Macaca mulatta: one gene and its partners. The protein of the gene in region 4 binds, or shares a complex with, the protein of the main gene of each other region. Links are inferred from orthologs where the notes say so. Each region holds a gene or a part of one and is shown on either strand. Other genes may lie near its edges.

Region 1 (3,940 bases), on a different chromosome or scaffold from region 4:
TAAAATAATTGATTCATTTTTGAGACTGCAAAATGCTTACGTTTAGACACTCATTCAACAGAATTGATGTATTTTCCCCAACTTATTTTTCAAAAATGATGAGTTTTGATTCTTTTTTTTTTTTTTTTGAGGCGGAGTCTCACCCTGTCGCCAGGCTGGGGTTCAGTGGTGCAATCTCAGCTCACTGCAAACTCTGCCTCCTGGGTTCAAGTGATACTCCACCCTTAGCCTCCTGGGAATACAGGAGCATGCGACCGCGCCTAGCTAATTTTTTGTATTTTTAGTAGAGACGGGATTTCACCATGTTGGCCATGGTGGTCTCGATCACTTGACCTCGTGATCTGCCCGCCTCAGCCTCCCAAAGTGCTGGGATTACAGGTGTGAGCCACCACACCCGGCCTTGATTCATTTTAATAGCCATTTCACCTTTACTCTGTTACTTTATATTCTATTATAAAATCTTTCAAGATGAAAGGCCTGAAGCCACAAAAAACATTTATCATTAAAAACTGGAAATCATAGCATACATCCTATTGATCCAGTTGATTTTCAAAAGTTGTGCTCTTTATGAAATTAGCAGTAGCTGACTCAGCATCTGGCCCTCTTAGGTACCTGAGCTACACCCTGAACCCCGACTTAATCCGGAAGCAGGATGCCACCTCTACCATCATCAGCATTACCAACAATGTCATCGGACAAAGTTTGGTCTGGGACTTTGTCCAGAGCAATTGGAAGAAGCTCTTTAATGAGTGAGTCTGTGGAGTGGGTGTCAGGCACAGCGAGCGCTGAGGCTGGGGCCCCAAGGGGTGGTCTGTGCACGTAAGACACGCCGGGGGCACTGCCCAGGAGTGGACAAAAATCAGCCAAGCGTGGGGGCAGGAATGGAAAGACAAGCTGGGGTACGGGCCGTCCCTTTTCCCATTTGGAAGGAAAAAGAGAGGGGAGTGAGGAACTCGGCAGTCAGAGCTGTGTTCAAGCTGTGACTCCCCCATGTCCTAGTGGGGTCTTCCAGGGCATATCATTTCATCTCCTCTATAATCATGGCTCCCTCTCCAGTAGGTGTGAGGATGAGCCTCCTTAGTTCCCGGCCTCCCTCACAGTTCACCTCTCTCCCTCCTTGCAGTTATGGTGGTGGCTCGTTCTCCTTCTCCAACCTCATCCAGGCAGTGACACGACGATTCTCCACCGAGTATGAGCTGCAGCAGGTAAGAAGTCATTCCCCAGCCCTGGGCTCTGCCTACTTCCTTCGCAGGCCAAAGGGCACTGCATTCTTCCCCGACTGTGGCCCTGAGGGAGCACAGGCTCCACGCCGCCAGGCCTTCCTCATTTACAGAGGAAGCCGAGTAGCCAGACTTTGGAAGTGTTGATAATTCAATTTAAAAAAAATTCATCTTGGGATTTTCGTATAGGCACAAAAGGAAAGAGTGGTATAAGGAACCTCCGTGTACCCATTACCCAGGTTCAACAATTATCAACATTTTGCCAGTACTCTTTCTGGGTGGGCAATTTTAAAGCAAATCACTGACACTATATAATTTTACTTCTAAATAATTTAGTCTTATGAAAAATAAAGGCATTCTTTTTTTTTTTTTTTTTTTTTTTGAGACTGAGTCTCACTCTGTCATGCAGGCTGGAGTGGTGCAGTGGTGCGATCTCTGCTCACTGCAACCTCCGCCTCCGAGGTTCAATTAATTCTCCTGCCTCAGCTTCCCGAGTAGCTGGGATTACAAGCATGCGCCACCACATCTGGCTATTTTTTGTATTTTCAGTAGAGACGGGGTTTCACCATGTTGGCCAGGCTGGTCTTGAACTCCTGACCTCAAGTGATCCACCCACCTCAGCCTCCCAGAGTGCTGAGATTACAGGCATGAGCCACTGCACCCAGCAATAAAGGCATTCTTAAAACATAATCACACTGTCCTTAGCAAACCCAGGAAAATAACTATCTTCTTACTATCATCTTATACCCAAGCCATATTCAATTTTCTGAGTTGTTTATAAAAGGTCTTTTTACAATTGATATATATGTTTGAATTAGAAGCTTGACAAACTCAACTTGGATTTAGTTTGTCTTTTTTAAAAATTGAGATGTAATTCACTGGGCATGGTGGCTCACGCCTGTAGTCCCAGCACTTTGGGAGGCTAAGGTGGGTGGATCATCTGAGGTCAGGAGTTCCAGACCAGCTTGGCCAACATGGTGAAACCCCGTCTGTACTAAAAATACAAAAATGAGCTGGGTGTGGTGGGGGAGTCCCTGTAGTCCCAGCTACTTGGGAGGCTATGGCAGAAGAATTGCCTGAACCCAGGAGGCAGAGGTTGCAGTGAACCAAGATTGAGCCACTGCACTCCAACCTCAGTGACAGAGTGAGACGCTGTCTCAAAAAAAAAAAAAAATTGATATATAATTAATGAACCATCAAACTCACCATTTTAAGTGGTTTTCAGTGTACTAACAAGGTGGGGTGGGTGGGGTGCTTCATGACTGTAATCCCAGCACTTTGGGAGACCAGTGCAGGAGGATCCCTTGAACCCAGGAGTTTGAGACCAGCCTGGGCAATCTCGTAAGACCTCATCTCTAAATAAATAAATAAATAAATAAATAAATAAATACAAAAGTTAGCTGGGCATGGTGGTGCATACCTGCAGTCCTAGCTACTCGGGAGACTGAGGTGAGAGGATCGCTTGAAGCAGGAAGGCAGAGGTTGCAGTGAGCCGAGATGGTGCCACTGCATTCCAGCCTGGGCGACAGAGCAAGACCCTGTCTCAAAAAACCAAAACCAACCAACCAAACAAACAAACAAAAAAATACGTGGTACAACCATCACTACTGTCTAATTCCAGAACATTTTCATTACACCAAAAAGAAACCTCATACTCATTAGCAGTCACTCCTCATTCCTACCTGGTCCCCTCAGCCCCTGGCAACCACTAATATACTTTCTGTCTCTATGGATTTATTACCTATTCTGGATGTTTCATAAAATGGAATCATAGATACATGACCTTTTTGTGTCTGTCTGCCTTCTTTCACTTAGTATAATGTTTTCCTTTTTTTTTTTTTTTTTTTTTTTGAGACGGAGTCTCGCTCTGTCGCCCAGGCTGGAGTGCAGTGGCCGGATCTCAGCTCACTGCAAGCTCTGCCTCCCGGGTTTACGCCATTCTCCTGCCTCAGCCTCCCGAGTAGCTGGGACTACAGGCACCCGCCACCACGTCACCCAGCTAGTTTTTTGTATTTTTTAGTAGAGACAGGGTTTCACCGTGTTAGCCAGGATGGTCTTGATCTCCTGACCTCGTGATCCGCCCGTCTCGGCCTCCCAAAGTGCTGGGATTACAGGCTTGAGCCACCGTGCCCGGCCAGTATAATGTTTTCAAGATTCATGCATATGGTAGCAGGGATCATTCCTTTTTATGACTGAATAATGTTCCATTGCATGGATGTACCATATTTTGTTTTCAGCTCATCATTGATGGTCATTTGGGTTGTTTCAGTCTTCTGGCTATTATGAATATCATGGACCTTCACATGCAAATTTTGTACAAACATGTTTTAATTTATCTTTTTTTTTTTTTTTTTTTTTTGAGACGGAGTCTTGCTCTGTCATCCAGGCTGGAGTGCAGTGGCCGGATCTCAGCTCACTGCAAGCTCCGCCTCCCGGGTTCACGCCATTCTCTTGCCTCAGCCTCCTGAGTAGCTGGGACTACAGGCGCCTGCCACCTCGCCCGGCTAAGTTTTTGTATTTTTAGTAGAGACGGGGTTTCACTGTGTTACCCAGGATGGTCTCGATCTCCTGACCTCGTGATCCGCCCGTCTCGGCCTCCCAAAGTGCTGGGATTACAGGCTTGAGCCACCGCGCCCGGCAATTTATCTTGGGTATACACCTCGGAGAAGAATTGCTGGGTCATTTGGTTACTCTGTGTTTAAACTTTTTGAGAAACTGAC
Region 2 (3,940 bases), on a different chromosome or scaffold from region 4:
ATGGGAGCACCCAGAGATGCCCCCTACCCCCAGTGTCTGTCCTGGGGCTGCTGGAGCCACGCCCTTAGGGTGTGCTTCCTTAGCCTGAGCCAAGCAATTCCTCCTGGTGTGGGGAACAGCAGCTGAACTGTCCCAGAGGGCCCTCTACACCCCGGCTCTACACCAGGCCTCTGAGCTCCTGGGACATCTTGAGGAAGGGCAAGACAGGGTCTTCTCTGCTTAAGGGGCCGTTTTCCCCACCCAACCCACAGCCCCTGAGGGCAGAGGCTAGAGCAGCTTCACCACTGGGTAGGGCAGGTTGTGGGGAGTGGAGCTGTGGGCTGGGGTACCAGGGCTGGCCGCTGCCTTCTTACCTGTACGAAGAGCTTGCCGCTGCCATGGCCCAGCAGCTCGTGCAGGCCCACCTGCACATCGAAGGAGGGCCCCTTCCAGAGGATGTACAGATCCTGCCAAGACAAGCAGAGACCTGCGCTGTCCACTGGCCGGCCCTGGCCACAGAGCCTGTCGGCCTCCCCTCCCCCGGGCCATGGGCCCATCTCAGTGCATGTACTTGGTAAAGGCCGACTGTGCTCCACCCCACAGCCCATCTCATCCTTGCAACAACCCAGGAGGAAGGGAGGGATGCCCCCCTAGTGTGACCCGAGAAGAAACCGAGGCTCCAAAGTCCGCACGGTCATGTGGTTGGGAAGTGGCAGAGCCAGGATGGAAGCTGTGTGCTTTCCTCTCTACTGCTCTGGGCTGTCTGCCTTCCCGAGTCCGCTGAGGAAGGTGAGGCCCAGCCCCAACCCTCCAACTGCTGGCACCCACCTTGTCATCCTCCTCCAGAAAGGTGAGCTTCTCCCGCTGCGTGGCGTAGGCCACAGCCAGCACATTCCCCAGTGACACGTTCTTAAAGCCTTCCGTCTGCCTCAGGTCATCGTCTGGAGAAGGCGGAGGAGGACCAGGAAGAAGAGGCAAGGGTCAAAGGTCACAGACAAGAGGCACAGGGCAGTTTGTGGAGAGTGTGTGTGTGGAGAGGGAGGGGCGACTCTAAAAGGAGGCTTCTGGGGCTCGGGGGCTGGGCCTGCCAACACTTACAATTGGGGATGTTGATGCCAGCAGGGATGCCGGAGCCAGCAAAGGTGAGAACATCCAGGGAGGTGAAGTCGGGGGTGAGGAACTTGTCCTTCTCAAAGGCTGGGGGCCAGGGCAGCTCCTTCAGCAGCTGCTCTGCGCTCGCCACTAGCCGCTCAAACTTGGCACTCATGGCCTTGTTCACCACAGCTACGAAACCTGCAGGGGAGGGAGGGAGCTGTGGCTTGGCAGGGTTCCAGGAGGGCTCTCACTTCACCCTACTCCAGCCATCACGCATGTACTGAATGCCTACTGTATGCAGTCACCCTGGGCTGGCAGCTGGGGACAGCAGTGACCCAGGTCTGGGCCCTACTAGGTCAGGACCTGGACAGGAAAGCTGCAGCTGCACAAACCTGTCTTCCCCTCAGGCCCCTGGGCCGCCTGCCCCTTCTCCCTGGGCCTGGGTCTAGCGGCTCACCCCTGAGCCCCAACAGGCTGTGTGCTCTCCTCCCAGACTAATCTCTCCGGCTTTAACAGGCAGATGCTCAGACTCTTCTACATCCAGCGGCTGGGGAGGATTAGGGCAGCCAGAGAAGTGGCTGAATCCTCAGGCTGGATGCCCTGCCTTCCACAGGTGGGTCCCCTGGGGAAGGGGGTGGGGGCCGAGGCAGCCTGCCACCAGCCTGGGATGACAGCCCCAGGTCAGGTCCAGTCACAATGTCCATCCTGCTTCCAGCCACTGAGTGTAGCAGTCTGCATCCTAACCGCACTGGTGCTGAGGTCAGGCTATTTGGCCCAAGGTCACACAGCCTGGAAGTGGTGAAGCTAGGCTTGGGAGGCACATGTCTACCTGGAGCCTGTGCCCTGACCAGACACCAGAGGCAGCACAGCAAAGTAGCTCAGAGCCAGAGTTTCTGGGTCACCCCCCAACTGTGCCTCAGTGCTCACACCTGCTAAGTGAGGATAAACATCCTCATGGGGTGAACTCTAAATTAGTTAATATAGCTAAGCTTCTTACAACAGTGCCCAATACACTGTAAATGGTGTTTATTTACGATGGCTGTTGTTATTGTTATGGTTATGGCTGAGTGGGGGTGGGGAGAACCATCAGGGGACACTGGACACGTGGACTTGGATGTGGGGGAAGGGACTGTGACTGACCTCCTCCTCCCCGAGGAAGTTACCTTCAAATTCTCCTCGGGAACCAAAGGGGTCACGGTAGCTCTCGATGAACCCGATGTAACTGGGGGAGAGAAGGGCAGAGGTGGAGGAGGGGCGGGCAGGAGGGGGCGGGTGGGGTGGAGCTGGCGGCTCACCTCTCCACGATGGGGCCTTTGTCCTGGATCCAGAAGCGGGAGCCCCTCTTGTGGGCCTCGATGGAGCCCTGGGTGAAGCTCTCTATATACTGGGCCAGCATCTGCCCCTGGTGGCTGTTGGCTGCATACACCTGAGGTGAGCAGGAGTCGGTCAGCCTTGTGTGAGGTCAACCCACCTCCACACCAGCTTTGCTGCCCAGAGGGGTCCTCAGCCCGCACACCTCAGTCCCCAGCCAGTCCAACCTTGGCTTTCTCCAGCTGCTCCACCACCTTCTGGAGGATGGGCGCATAGTCCCCTCGGGTCACCTGGAAAGGGCTTCCCCGGAATTCATAGCTCTTCAGCTTGGAAGTCATCTCAGAGTCCAGGGAAGGCTCTGGGGAAAGAAGGTGTCACTCAGAGAAAAGGCCGGAGTAAGACACCTCCGTCAGCTTTTCCCCGTAGCACTCTTTCACTCTAAGATCTTCAATGGCTCCCTGTAGCCAACAGACATGAGTATAAACTCTCGTCTTCCAAAATATATATATCAGCCGGGCACGGTGGCTCACACCTGTAATCCCAGCACTTTGGGAGGCCGAGGCGGGCAGATCGCCTGAGGTCTGGAGTTCATGACCAGTCTGGCCAACATGGTGAAATCCCGTCTCTACTCAAAATACAAAATTAGCTGGGCGTGGTGGCAGGCACCTGTAATCCCAGCTACTCAAGAGGCTGAAGCAGGAAAATCGCTTGAAGCCAGGAGACACAGGTTGCAGTGAGCTGAGATCGCGCTGCTGCACTCCAGCCTGGGCAACAGAGAGAGACTCCAGCCCAAAAAAACAAACACAAAAATGAAAACAAAAAAACCCAAAAACTAAAAAACAAAAATATATGTATCACATAACATGTGCTTTCCATGTGTTAACTCCTTTAAGCCTCACTCTAACTCTGGGGGGAGGCAGAAATTATCATCTCCATTTCACTGATGGGAAACTAAGGCATCGAGAGCTTACGTGGACAGCAAGTAGCAGATTGGATTTAAAAAGACAGTCACATCCCAAACGTAATCAACAGTCCCACGGGGAGACAAGAGGGTGGCTGGGAAAAGGAGCTGTGACGATAGCAGAAGGGAGCTGGAGTGAAGTTGGGGGGGCTGGGCAGCCTTCCAGAAGCTGGAAAAGGCAAGTGGGGGCAGGTTCCTCCTGAGACTCCAAAATGAATGCGGCCCAGCCTTGCTTTTAGACTCTGGACCCCTGCAACTGTAATAAGTTCATGTTGTTTTGTGCCACTAAATTTGTGGCAATTTGTTACAGAAGCAATGGGATGTTTACACACTATTGTATTTTCCTTGTTGTCTCTGATCAATAAAATATACTTCAAGGCTATGTAAAAACAAACAAACGAGCAAAAACAGCCACAATATTTCCTGTCTTACACCTTTTTTTTTTTTTTTAATTTGAGATAGGATCTTGCAAGGTTGCCCAGCTGATCTCAGACTGCTGGGCTCAAGCGATCCTCCTGGCTCAGCCTCCTGAATAGCTGGGATTACAGGTATGAGCCATCATGTCCAGCTCAACTGTGACTTTGCCCATGGAGA
Region 3 (3,940 bases), about 44 Mb from region 4:
CTATGCCCAACCCAGCTCAGGGGATCCTCTCCACCACAGCCCTGGTTGGGTGCCTGTCCCCTGGTGTCCTGGAGACCTTGCAGCTGCTGTGGGCATCTGCTGCCACCTAGTGGCCTCCCATGGCACTGTCTCCCCACCAGCCCCTAGTTTTGACAGGGGCACTCCCTGGCATTCATCTCTTCAGAGGGAATGTCTGTGCCTATTTCCCGTCTGTCCTCCTGCCAGCTGGAGTTCCTTAAAAGCAGTCATGATCGTTATCTTTCTAGCTCCAGTTTCCAGCACAGTGAGGCACAAAGTAGTTGTTCAGCAGGTGATTATGGAATAAATGAATGAACGGACCAATAAACAAACAGCCTTGTCTAATTAAAATTAGGCAACAGAAGGAAGTCACTTCAGGGTTATTTAATCCGCGGGCAGCTGACTCCTCTAAATTGACTCTTGACAAGAGGTAACTCTTATAAATGCTCCAGAGGCCTTCAGGGACAGAGGTGATTTCCAGGTGACTGGGCTAACATTAAAGGTGGTTGTACTAAAAGCAGGGATTTGGCCTCAGGGACTCTACCGTTATGGTGGGGGTACAGCACTTTTCTATTTTTGCTTCCTCCACCATGAGCCAGGATCTTCCTCAAGAGGATGCCCTCAATCCGAGAAAGCCTGAAGGAACGAGGTGTGGACATGGCCAGACTTGGTCCCGAGTGGAGCCAGCCCATGAAGAGGCTGGCCCTTGGCAACACCACCTCCTCCGTGATCCTCACCAACTACATGGATGTGAGTGCCTGGCCCAGCCCCTCGCTCCCTCCCTCCCTGTCTCCTTTCCCCCACGGACCTAGGGCTTTCTTTGCCACAAGACTCTCCCTTCCTATGCTGTGTTTGACGAAGGCGCTGAGGAACATTCCCATTTTCTGGTTGGAAAGCCTGAGCACAGAAGACAGGAAAGCACTCAGGGGCCATTCAGGGGCAGGGTTAGGTTTGGAACTCAGCCCAGGCCTTAAGCCAGGTGTCACAGGTGGGTGGGAAGGGGTGTGTGACTCAGGTGGGGGTTTCTGTGACCTGGTCCAGCACAGTCTGACGGCTTCCTGCCCCAGTAGATTCTCAAGGGTCAAGTTCGCATCCTGCTTCATTCTCAATGTTTTGATTTCGCCATTTTGTCTTACTGAGATTCCCACTTTCTGGGATGCCATGGGGCGATGCTAAGCCTCCTACCAGTTCCTGCAGGACAGCAGAAACCCCGAGAGGCTATAGGACCTCACCTGGGCGAAATCTTACCCTGACAGCCAAGAGTGAAGCCAGACAAGACCCCAAGACCCTGAGCCCCTCCAGCCCTCTCTTTTTACCCCCACAGACCCAGTACTATGGCGAGATTGGCATCGGCACCCCACCCCAGACCTTCAAAGTCGTCTTTGACACTGGTTCGTCCAACGTTTGGGTGCCCTCCTCCAAGTGCAGCCGTCTCTACACTGCCTGTGGTGAGATCTAAGACCCACAGTGCCTCTCCCCAATCCCCCTGCCCTACTGTGCATGAGCAATCCTGCCCCACACCTAGCTCCCATCCCTCTTGCCACCAAGAGAGTGCCTTCCTCTCTGCCTCTGTACCCACTGACCCTGACACTTAAGGGAGAGAGGAAGATGTCTCCCATTTTTCTGATATAGCCACCAAGGTTTTTTAAAAAAAAAAAAAAAGAAAGCTCCAAGAATCCCTGACCACCCAGAAGGCTACTTCCCAGTCTTCCTGAGATTGAGACAGGACTGAATTCTCAAACCCATCCCAGGCACTCGGAACTCTTCCATCCCTAGTCTTAATCAACAACCTCTTACTGGGCACTTACTCTGTGCCCAGCATCTTCTCTGGTGTTATCAGTGTTAGTGATTACTTTACATTCCTTCATTTAGGACAAAATTATCGAGGTATGGGCACATTAGGGGGGCCCAAGAAACCCAGTCCTTGATTGATGAAGCACATATTCCAAGCCTCCTGACCCTAGAGTCACTCGTCCCTGTACCTAAGCTAAGTCCTAAGCCACACCAGCCATACCCACAATGCACCCTGCCTCTGAGTCCCCCTGTCTGGGCCACTCTTGGACAAACCTAAGCCTCTGTCCCCCTGCCAGTGTATCACAAGCTCTTCGATGCTTCGGATTCCTCCAGCTACAAGCACAATGGAACGGAACTCACCCTCCGCTATTCAACAGGGACAGTCAGTGGCTTTCTGAGCCAGGACATCATCACCGTAAGTGGGGTTGCCCTAGGTCATCTGCTCCCAACCCCTTCTGTCCCCAGGCCTCTCCTGACCCTCCAGGGGCCATACCTGCGGGGAGGTGCACTGTAGCCCACTTGGAGCCTGGGGAGCTGAGGAGCACCCTGCTCTGCCACATCTGGCTGTTGCTGCAAAGCAGCAGTACCTATGGGGGAGCAAGCTTGGGCTACGGGCTTAACTGTTGGGTGGTTTATGGACGTTTTTGCATCTGACTTGCACGTAGGGTTGTCGTGAGCCCCATGGCTGCAGTCAAGTAACTTGCCCAAGTTCACCAGCTCTGACTGGGCTACACCCTAGACTAAAATCCAGGGTCAGGGTCAGGCTGAGTTTTAGGGTCAGGCATAGGTTTTAAGGTCACAGTTGAGGTTGACTCTGGGATTCAGGTCAAGTCCTGCTTTTTTTTTTATTTGGCCCGTGTCTGACCCTTTCCTCATTCTGGAGTTTCTCAGGCCCTGCTCCATCAGAGTTAGGGGGGGGGCACACATGGGGCCTGACAGAAAATCAGGGTGATTCCTGCCTCCCTCCCTTTTTCTGTGAACTCAGATATAAAGAAGGGAGAAGGGCAAGGTTGGCTGTGCTGAAGAAACCCTCGCCCATGATAAGCGTGGGGGCCAAGACCTAGTCCTGCCGGGCACGAAAGGCGGGCCACTGGGGAGGGGGAGGCGCTCTTGGCAGCTTTCCTTTTGCTGCTTGGCAGGACCACCCTCTCAGCCTCTGCTGTCCAATCCCTGGTCAACTCCAGCTCTCTCTCGGCTCTGTGGCACAGACGTATTGGCATACACATTGGCGTACACAGAGTGTGTGCATGCAGAGTTGAGGAAACACTCTTACCCCAAATTCTGTACCCTGAAGCCTGTGTGGCCCTGGGATCCCTAGTGTGGAAGCCCAGACCAGACTCCAGCCAAGGAGCAGGCAGTGGGCTTGGTCTCCTCTGGTCCTTCCTCCCACAGGTGGGTGGAATCACAGTGACACAGATGTTTGGAGAGGTCACGGAGATGCCTGCCTTACCCTTCATGCTGGCCGAGTTTGATGGGGTTGTGGGCATGGGCTTCATTGAACAGGCCATTGGCAGGGTCACCCCTATCTTCGACAACATCCTCTCCCAAGGGGTGCTAAAAGAGGACGTCTTCTCTTTCTACTACAACAGGTGGGGACTGGGACTCCAGGGGCTGAGGTGGGGGGAGAGGAGGGGAGAAGAGCTGGGGAGTGGAAGGAGAGCCTGGGCCAGAATTGTTAAGCGTTTGTGATTAGATGACCGTCAATCAATATCTAGAGCTGTACTAGCCAATGTGGAAGGCACCATTGAAATTTAAATTAATTCAATACAGTTAAGCATCAATTAAGCATTCAACTGGTGGCTCTTAGTTGCACTAGCCACGTGTCAAATGTCTGGCAGCCGCGGTGGCTAGTAACTACGGTTTTGGACAGTGCAGATAGAGAACATTCCCAGCTTGGCAGGACATTCTAATAGACAGTACCACTCTGGAGCAAGAGGAGATGCAAGGTGGGGATGATGGGAAATAAGGGATTACTGTGACCTGGAGCCCTGCCTGTGAGGGCCATGGCTCCTCCCACACAGAGACAGCCAACTTCAGTCATCCATTAGATCCTTCATTTGTTTGCCCACTCATCAGTTCAGTAAATGCTATGTGCCAAGCACTGTGCGAGGCTCTGGGGGTGCAGCAG
Region 4 (4,044 bases):
GACAGCCATCTACAAGGCAAGGATAGAGGCCCCAGAGGAAACCAACTCTGCTGATGGCTTGCTCCCGGGCTTCTAGCTTCCAGAACTGTGAGATAATACATTTCTGTTGTTGAAGCCTCCCAGTCTGTGGTACTTATGGCAGCCCAAGCACACTAAGACATGCTCCTGCCTGCGGCTATAAGTTCTCTCCTAGAAAAACACATACGTGCCAATCAGTAGGTCTTTGCGGAGGCCTCCTAGACCCCTGAGATGCTCATTCAAGGGCCCTAGGGTGAGGGTTGGGAATGGTTTTCTCATCTCCTTGTGGTCCTAATATGCAGCCAGGATTGAGCACCACAGGCTCAACCCAAAGCCCAAGTATTTTCCACGTGTCTCAACCCCAAAACCAGCTCTCAACCATCCCTCCATAGTGCTATCCCCTGCAGAGCCCCAAAGGCATGCACACCTAGCATGGTTTGCCCACTGATACTTGGATTCCTTAGATTAAAACAATAAAAATTAAAAAAAAAAATTTCTCAGGTGGCTCTGATATGTAAGCAGGGTTTAGAACCCCTGCCTTAGACACGGATCCGGCACCATGTTCTCTCAAAGGCCTTGCCACTGGGCTTCAGCCTCAGCTGCTGCAAATGAAGACTACCCCGAGACCCCAGAAGACAAGGTTCTTGGGCTGGCCCTGCTAATTCATTTCATCTGACTCTTCCTGATTGACGGGATGAACGTTGATTCTATTGATTCATTCAATTCTAACAGTTTGTACCACATCTCACTCATTTCTTGTGGAGGGGGTATACTGCAATATCGTCACTGCTTAGCCTTTTCTGTCCCCCCAGGGCTACGCCAGGCTTCCTTGGAGCTGTAGCAGGTCATCACTGACTCGAGGCCACCTTGATGCCTAGATTTTTCTGCTTCACCTAAGCACACCCAGTCATTCTTCTTACATTAGCAGCTGGCTTCCCCCACCCAGACCGGTAACCAGCACCTGCCCTCAACACGGTGCAACTGCTGAAGTACCTGGTGTGTTTCGTTCTGCTTCAGTCATTCAAATGCCAAAGAGACTTTGACTTCTGACCTCAGCTACCGCCTCACCCCACTCCCCATGCGTTGACTCCATCCGCTGTTCTCAGGAAGAGCCACACGACATGGAAAAACAGAACAGAAAACTCTCTCTGCTGCTTGCAGGCCTGTCTGTGCAGAGAAGCCTGAGCCACCAGTTCTCACCTAATCTAGACAGTCACATCACATCAGGTCGTCAGGGGAAACCTGTGGGAACCGACTGCTGGGAAGTCCTGCCTGACAAGCGCCACCTGTTCGGGGTTTGGATGGCGCTGGTCGGTGCAGCCCACTCACTGTGCTGCTCCTGCGCAGGTACCATCTCCAGAGACGCAATTCCTTGGGCCATTTTTAAGGCAGAGACTGTCGTTTGTTCTCAGTTGTGATCTGCAGCTGCTCCCTAGGCTGTTTCCAGGTCTGCACCCAGCCGCGTCCTGGGAGTAATGGTGCTCTGGGGTGGCGGGCCTGACACCCTTGCCTGGAGCGCCCCTCCGCCTTCTCCCCTCCTGCCCCTGCCTCTTTGCCAGCACCTGCCCCTTCTATGTCTCCCTACTTCCCCCAGGCTGAATGCTACAGGTGAAGATGACGGCTCACGCTCCCGTGGTGCCTGTGATTTGCAGGGCATCGTTCTTATATCAACCCCTCTGACCTCATCATAGTCCTCACCTTCCCTGAGGTTTCCTTGGTGCCGTATTTCACCCTGCAGCTTTCCCCACCACACCGGGCACTCTCAACTCTCTCATCCGGCTCCCCTTTTCCCTCCTTATAACCCCTGTACCATGTAGTTACGCACTTGTGCTGTCCAGCGTCTTTGTCTGTTTGCCCTGACGTGAATGTGAGCCCCGGAGCAGGGTTCCCACTGCTATGTTTCCTAATACAGCCCACATTCCCAGGACAGTCCCCGGGACCTAATGCATCCTGGAGAAGTAGTTAATGAATTGGTTCCTGCTGTTTTCCAGAGGAACAAAGAGGTCCAGTGACTTGTGCAAAGTCACACAGCTGGGAAGAGACAGAACTAGGACTCAGAACCAGGCCCTCTGACTCTGTCATCCACAAGTTTAAGCACCAATCTACGCTGCCCTTGAATGAAATTGGAATCTGCCTTTTAGCTTATCCCAAAGCTTAGAAAGTACTTTCATGTTGTATTAGTTCTCTTCAGCTGCACCACAGCCCCTGAGAGAGGGAGCCCAGGCATCGTTACTAGTCCCATTTTATAGGTGAGCAAATCGAGGTTCAGAGAGATGGTGACCAGCCTGATGACACAGTCAGGGAATCTGTCTCGAGGGAGGGGTAGGGTGACCACTCTGGGGATCCCAGCTGGGGACTGACCGGGCCCAGCCCTTCCCTGTGGCCCCACTTCCTGTACAAGCCCTGCTGTTCCTCCTGATGGCAAGAGGACCTGGTGGACTCTTGACCATGATGACTCTGCTCCTGTGCCAGTCTGCTCCATCCCTGAGGACCCGAACTCTTCTCAGCCGAAGCAGGAAGACCTGACCATCTGGTCCTATTGCTAAGGAGGAGCAGCTCCTCCTGGGAGACCCCTGGGTGGGCACTGAGCGGAGAAAGCCTGCGTCCAGATGACTGGTCTTATGGGAGGGGAGAGATGCTTCAGCCATCACCAGTGCCCCTCCCGGCCTTTTCCCTCCGGCCCACAGCTCAGTTACGTCTGAGAGGGACAAGGCTGAGAAGGAGCTGAGGGGGCCCCCGGCTTACCTTCTGCTGTAGTACCCAGAACAATGGCAGCTTCTTCCCCTGGCCGCGTCATGAGGCCCTATTTATATCTGAGGGGTGGGGATGGAGCCGTTCCCAGGCTGCCTGTGCACAGGCTGGAGGGGGGTTACATCATGTGGCCAGACCACAGGCTGGCCAGAAAGACAGACGCCAGAAGGGACACTCACGCTGGGACCCCTTCCAGGAAGTCTTAGTGATCGATGCACAGTTTCACTGCTGAACAGAGTGAGCCGGTGCAGGGTCGAGTTACACATTTACCGAAGTTTGCAGGAGTGGGGGCCAAGGTTCCCAGAAACAGCAGCATCTCCCTGGGTGTGTGACAGCTTAAGGCCAACCGCCCAGACCTCCTGACCCAGCCCCGGGATGTGCCCCTAAGAGGCCACGGGGACATGCAGGCCGGAGGCGCGGAGGGCAGAGGGCAGGGGAGCGTCTCGCTCAGGCAACACGGGGGCCACTTCTGACCCTGCTGCCTGCTCATGGGATGTGTGACCTTCAGCTGCTCCCAACAGCCATTTGGCGCCTACCCTGTGCAAAGGCCTCTAATAGACACTGGGAAAAACACACGAGCAAGTGAAAAGTGCCTTCTGGTCGCTTCCAGTGTAGCTGGGGAGACTGTTAAACACCAACAGTAGCACAGCCAGATTAAAAGACACAAACGAAATGCCTTCAGGATGCAGAAAGCATTCACCTGTGCAAGCTGGCGAGGGGCGAGGGACAGATATCACTGGGCCTGCACCTGGAGGAGGAGCTGGTCTGACTTGGAAGCTGCAGAAGGGCTTTTCTGAGGCAGAGGCTTGAGTGACACTCACCAACAAGAGGGAGAGCATGGGGGGCACGTGTAGGGGAATACAAGCAGGCCCGGGTACTGGGCAGGAGGGCTGCAGGAGACAAGCCCTGGCCAAACGGCTGCTGCTGCCTGGCCACAGGTTCTCACAAGCTTATGCAGTCACTGTCCTATTTCCTGCTGAGCCTCCGGGACCAAGGACTTCAGGCCGCACTCTCAAGGAGCTGGGGTTGACACACATGCAGAAACCTGCTCCCCATCAAGATTGGGGGCCAGGTGCAGTGGCCCACATTTATAACCCAAGTACTCTGGAAAACTGAGGCAGGAAGATAGTTTGAGGCCAAGAGTTTGAGACCAGCTTAGGCAACATAGCAAGACCCCCATCTGTGCAAAAAATAAAACTAACTGGATATGGTGGTATGCACTGGTAGTCCTAGCTGCTTGGGAGGCTGGGGCAGGAGGATCACTTGAGCCCAGAA

Evidence for each region.
Region 1: the proteins of AGT (region 4) and ANPEP are in contact, whole or in part, in a crystal structure (PDB 4FYS), measured with the Homo sapiens proteins. The link is inferred for Macaca mulatta from reciprocal best matches to the Homo sapiens genes AGT and ANPEP. Residues at the interface, in NP_001369746.2 of Homo sapiens: Val27, Tyr28, Ile29, His30, Pro31, Phe32; in NP_001141.2 of Homo sapiens: Gln211, Gln213, Ala351, Gly352, Ala353, Met354, Glu355, Arg381, Val385, His388, Glu389, His392, Glu411, Glu418, Asn438, Arg442, Phe472, Tyr477, Ile864, Phe896, Ser897, Asn900, Gln903, Ala904, Arg907.
Region 2: the proteins of AGT (region 4) and DPP3 are in contact, whole or in part, in a crystal structure (PDB 5E2Q), measured with the Homo sapiens proteins. The link is inferred for Macaca mulatta from reciprocal best matches to the Homo sapiens genes AGT and DPP3. Residues at the interface, in NP_001369746.2 of Homo sapiens: Asp25, Arg26, Val27, Tyr28, Ile29, His30, Pro31, Phe32; in NP_005691.2 of Homo sapiens: Phe109, Glu316, Tyr318, Glu329, Phe381, Gly385, Ile386, Pro387, Ala388, Gly389, Ile390, Asn391, Ile392, Asn394, Arg399, Val412, Leu413, Val415, Ala416, Phe443, Val447, His450, His455, Glu507, Glu508, Asn545, Arg548, Leu552, Glu555, Phe556.
Region 3: the proteins of AGT (region 4) and REN are in contact, whole or in part, in a crystal structure (PDB 6I3F), measured with the Homo sapiens proteins. The link is inferred for Macaca mulatta from reciprocal best matches to the Homo sapiens genes AGT and REN. Residues at the interface, in NP_001369746.2 of Homo sapiens: Asp25, Tyr28, Ile29, His30, Pro31, Phe32, His33, Leu34, Val35, Ile36, His37, Asn38, Glu39, Lys91, Leu92, Ala95, Met96, Met99, Leu100, Phe103, Arg107, Arg148, Ala151, Ile152, Gly154, Gln353, Gln354, Asn355, Asn358, Glu391; in NP_000528.1 of Homo sapiens: Tyr81, Met82, Thr84, Gln85, Val102, Asp104, Gly106, Ser107, Asn109, Ser118, Arg119, Leu120, Tyr121, Thr122, Val125, Tyr126, Leu147, Arg148, Tyr149, Ser150, Pro181, Ala182, Leu183, Pro184, Met186, Leu187, Ala188, Glu189, Phe190, Val193.

Annotation. Positions count from the first base shown.
Region 1 is NC_133412.1:79,602,133-79,606,072, reverse strand, and holds part of ANPEP (aminopeptidase N), read left to right. Parts: intron 1-608; coding exon 609-749; intron 750-1,123; coding exon 1,124-1,205; intron 1,206-3,940. UniProt on the Homo sapiens protein: Broad specificity aminopeptidase which plays a role in the final digestion of peptides generated from hydrolysis of proteins by gastric and pancreatic proteases.
Region 2 is NC_133419.1:7,923,643-7,927,582, forward strand, and holds part of DPP3 (dipeptidyl peptidase 3), read right to left. Parts: intron 2,744-3,940; coding exon 2,613-2,743; intron 2,501-2,612; coding exon 2,370-2,500; intron 2,297-2,369; coding exon 2,179-2,296; intron 1,319-2,178; coding exon 1,078-1,318; intron 921-1,077; coding exon 808-920; intron 447-807; coding exon 354-446; intron 1-353. UniProt on the Homo sapiens protein: Cleaves and degrades bioactive peptides, including angiotensin, Leu-enkephalin and Met-enkephalin. Also cleaves Arg-Arg-beta-naphthylamide (in vitro).
Region 3 is NC_133406.1:61,903,792-61,907,731, reverse strand, and holds part of REN (renin), read left to right. Parts: intron 1-617; coding exon 618-806; intron 807-1,311; coding exon 1,312-1,466; intron 1,467-2,108; coding exon 2,109-2,227; intron 2,228-3,204; coding exon 3,205-3,401; intron 3,402-3,940. UniProt on the Homo sapiens protein: Renin is a highly specific endopeptidase, whose only known function is to generate angiotensin I from angiotensinogen in the plasma, initiating a cascade of reactions that produce an elevation of blood pressure and increased sodium retention by the kidney.
Region 4 is NC_133406.1:18,331,545-18,335,588, reverse strand, and holds the start of AGT (angiotensinogen), read right to left. Parts: upstream 2,801-4,044; 5' UTR 2,764-2,800; intron 1-2,763. UniProt on the Homo sapiens protein: Essential component of the renin-angiotensin system (RAS), a potent regulator of blood pressure, body fluid and electrolyte homeostasis.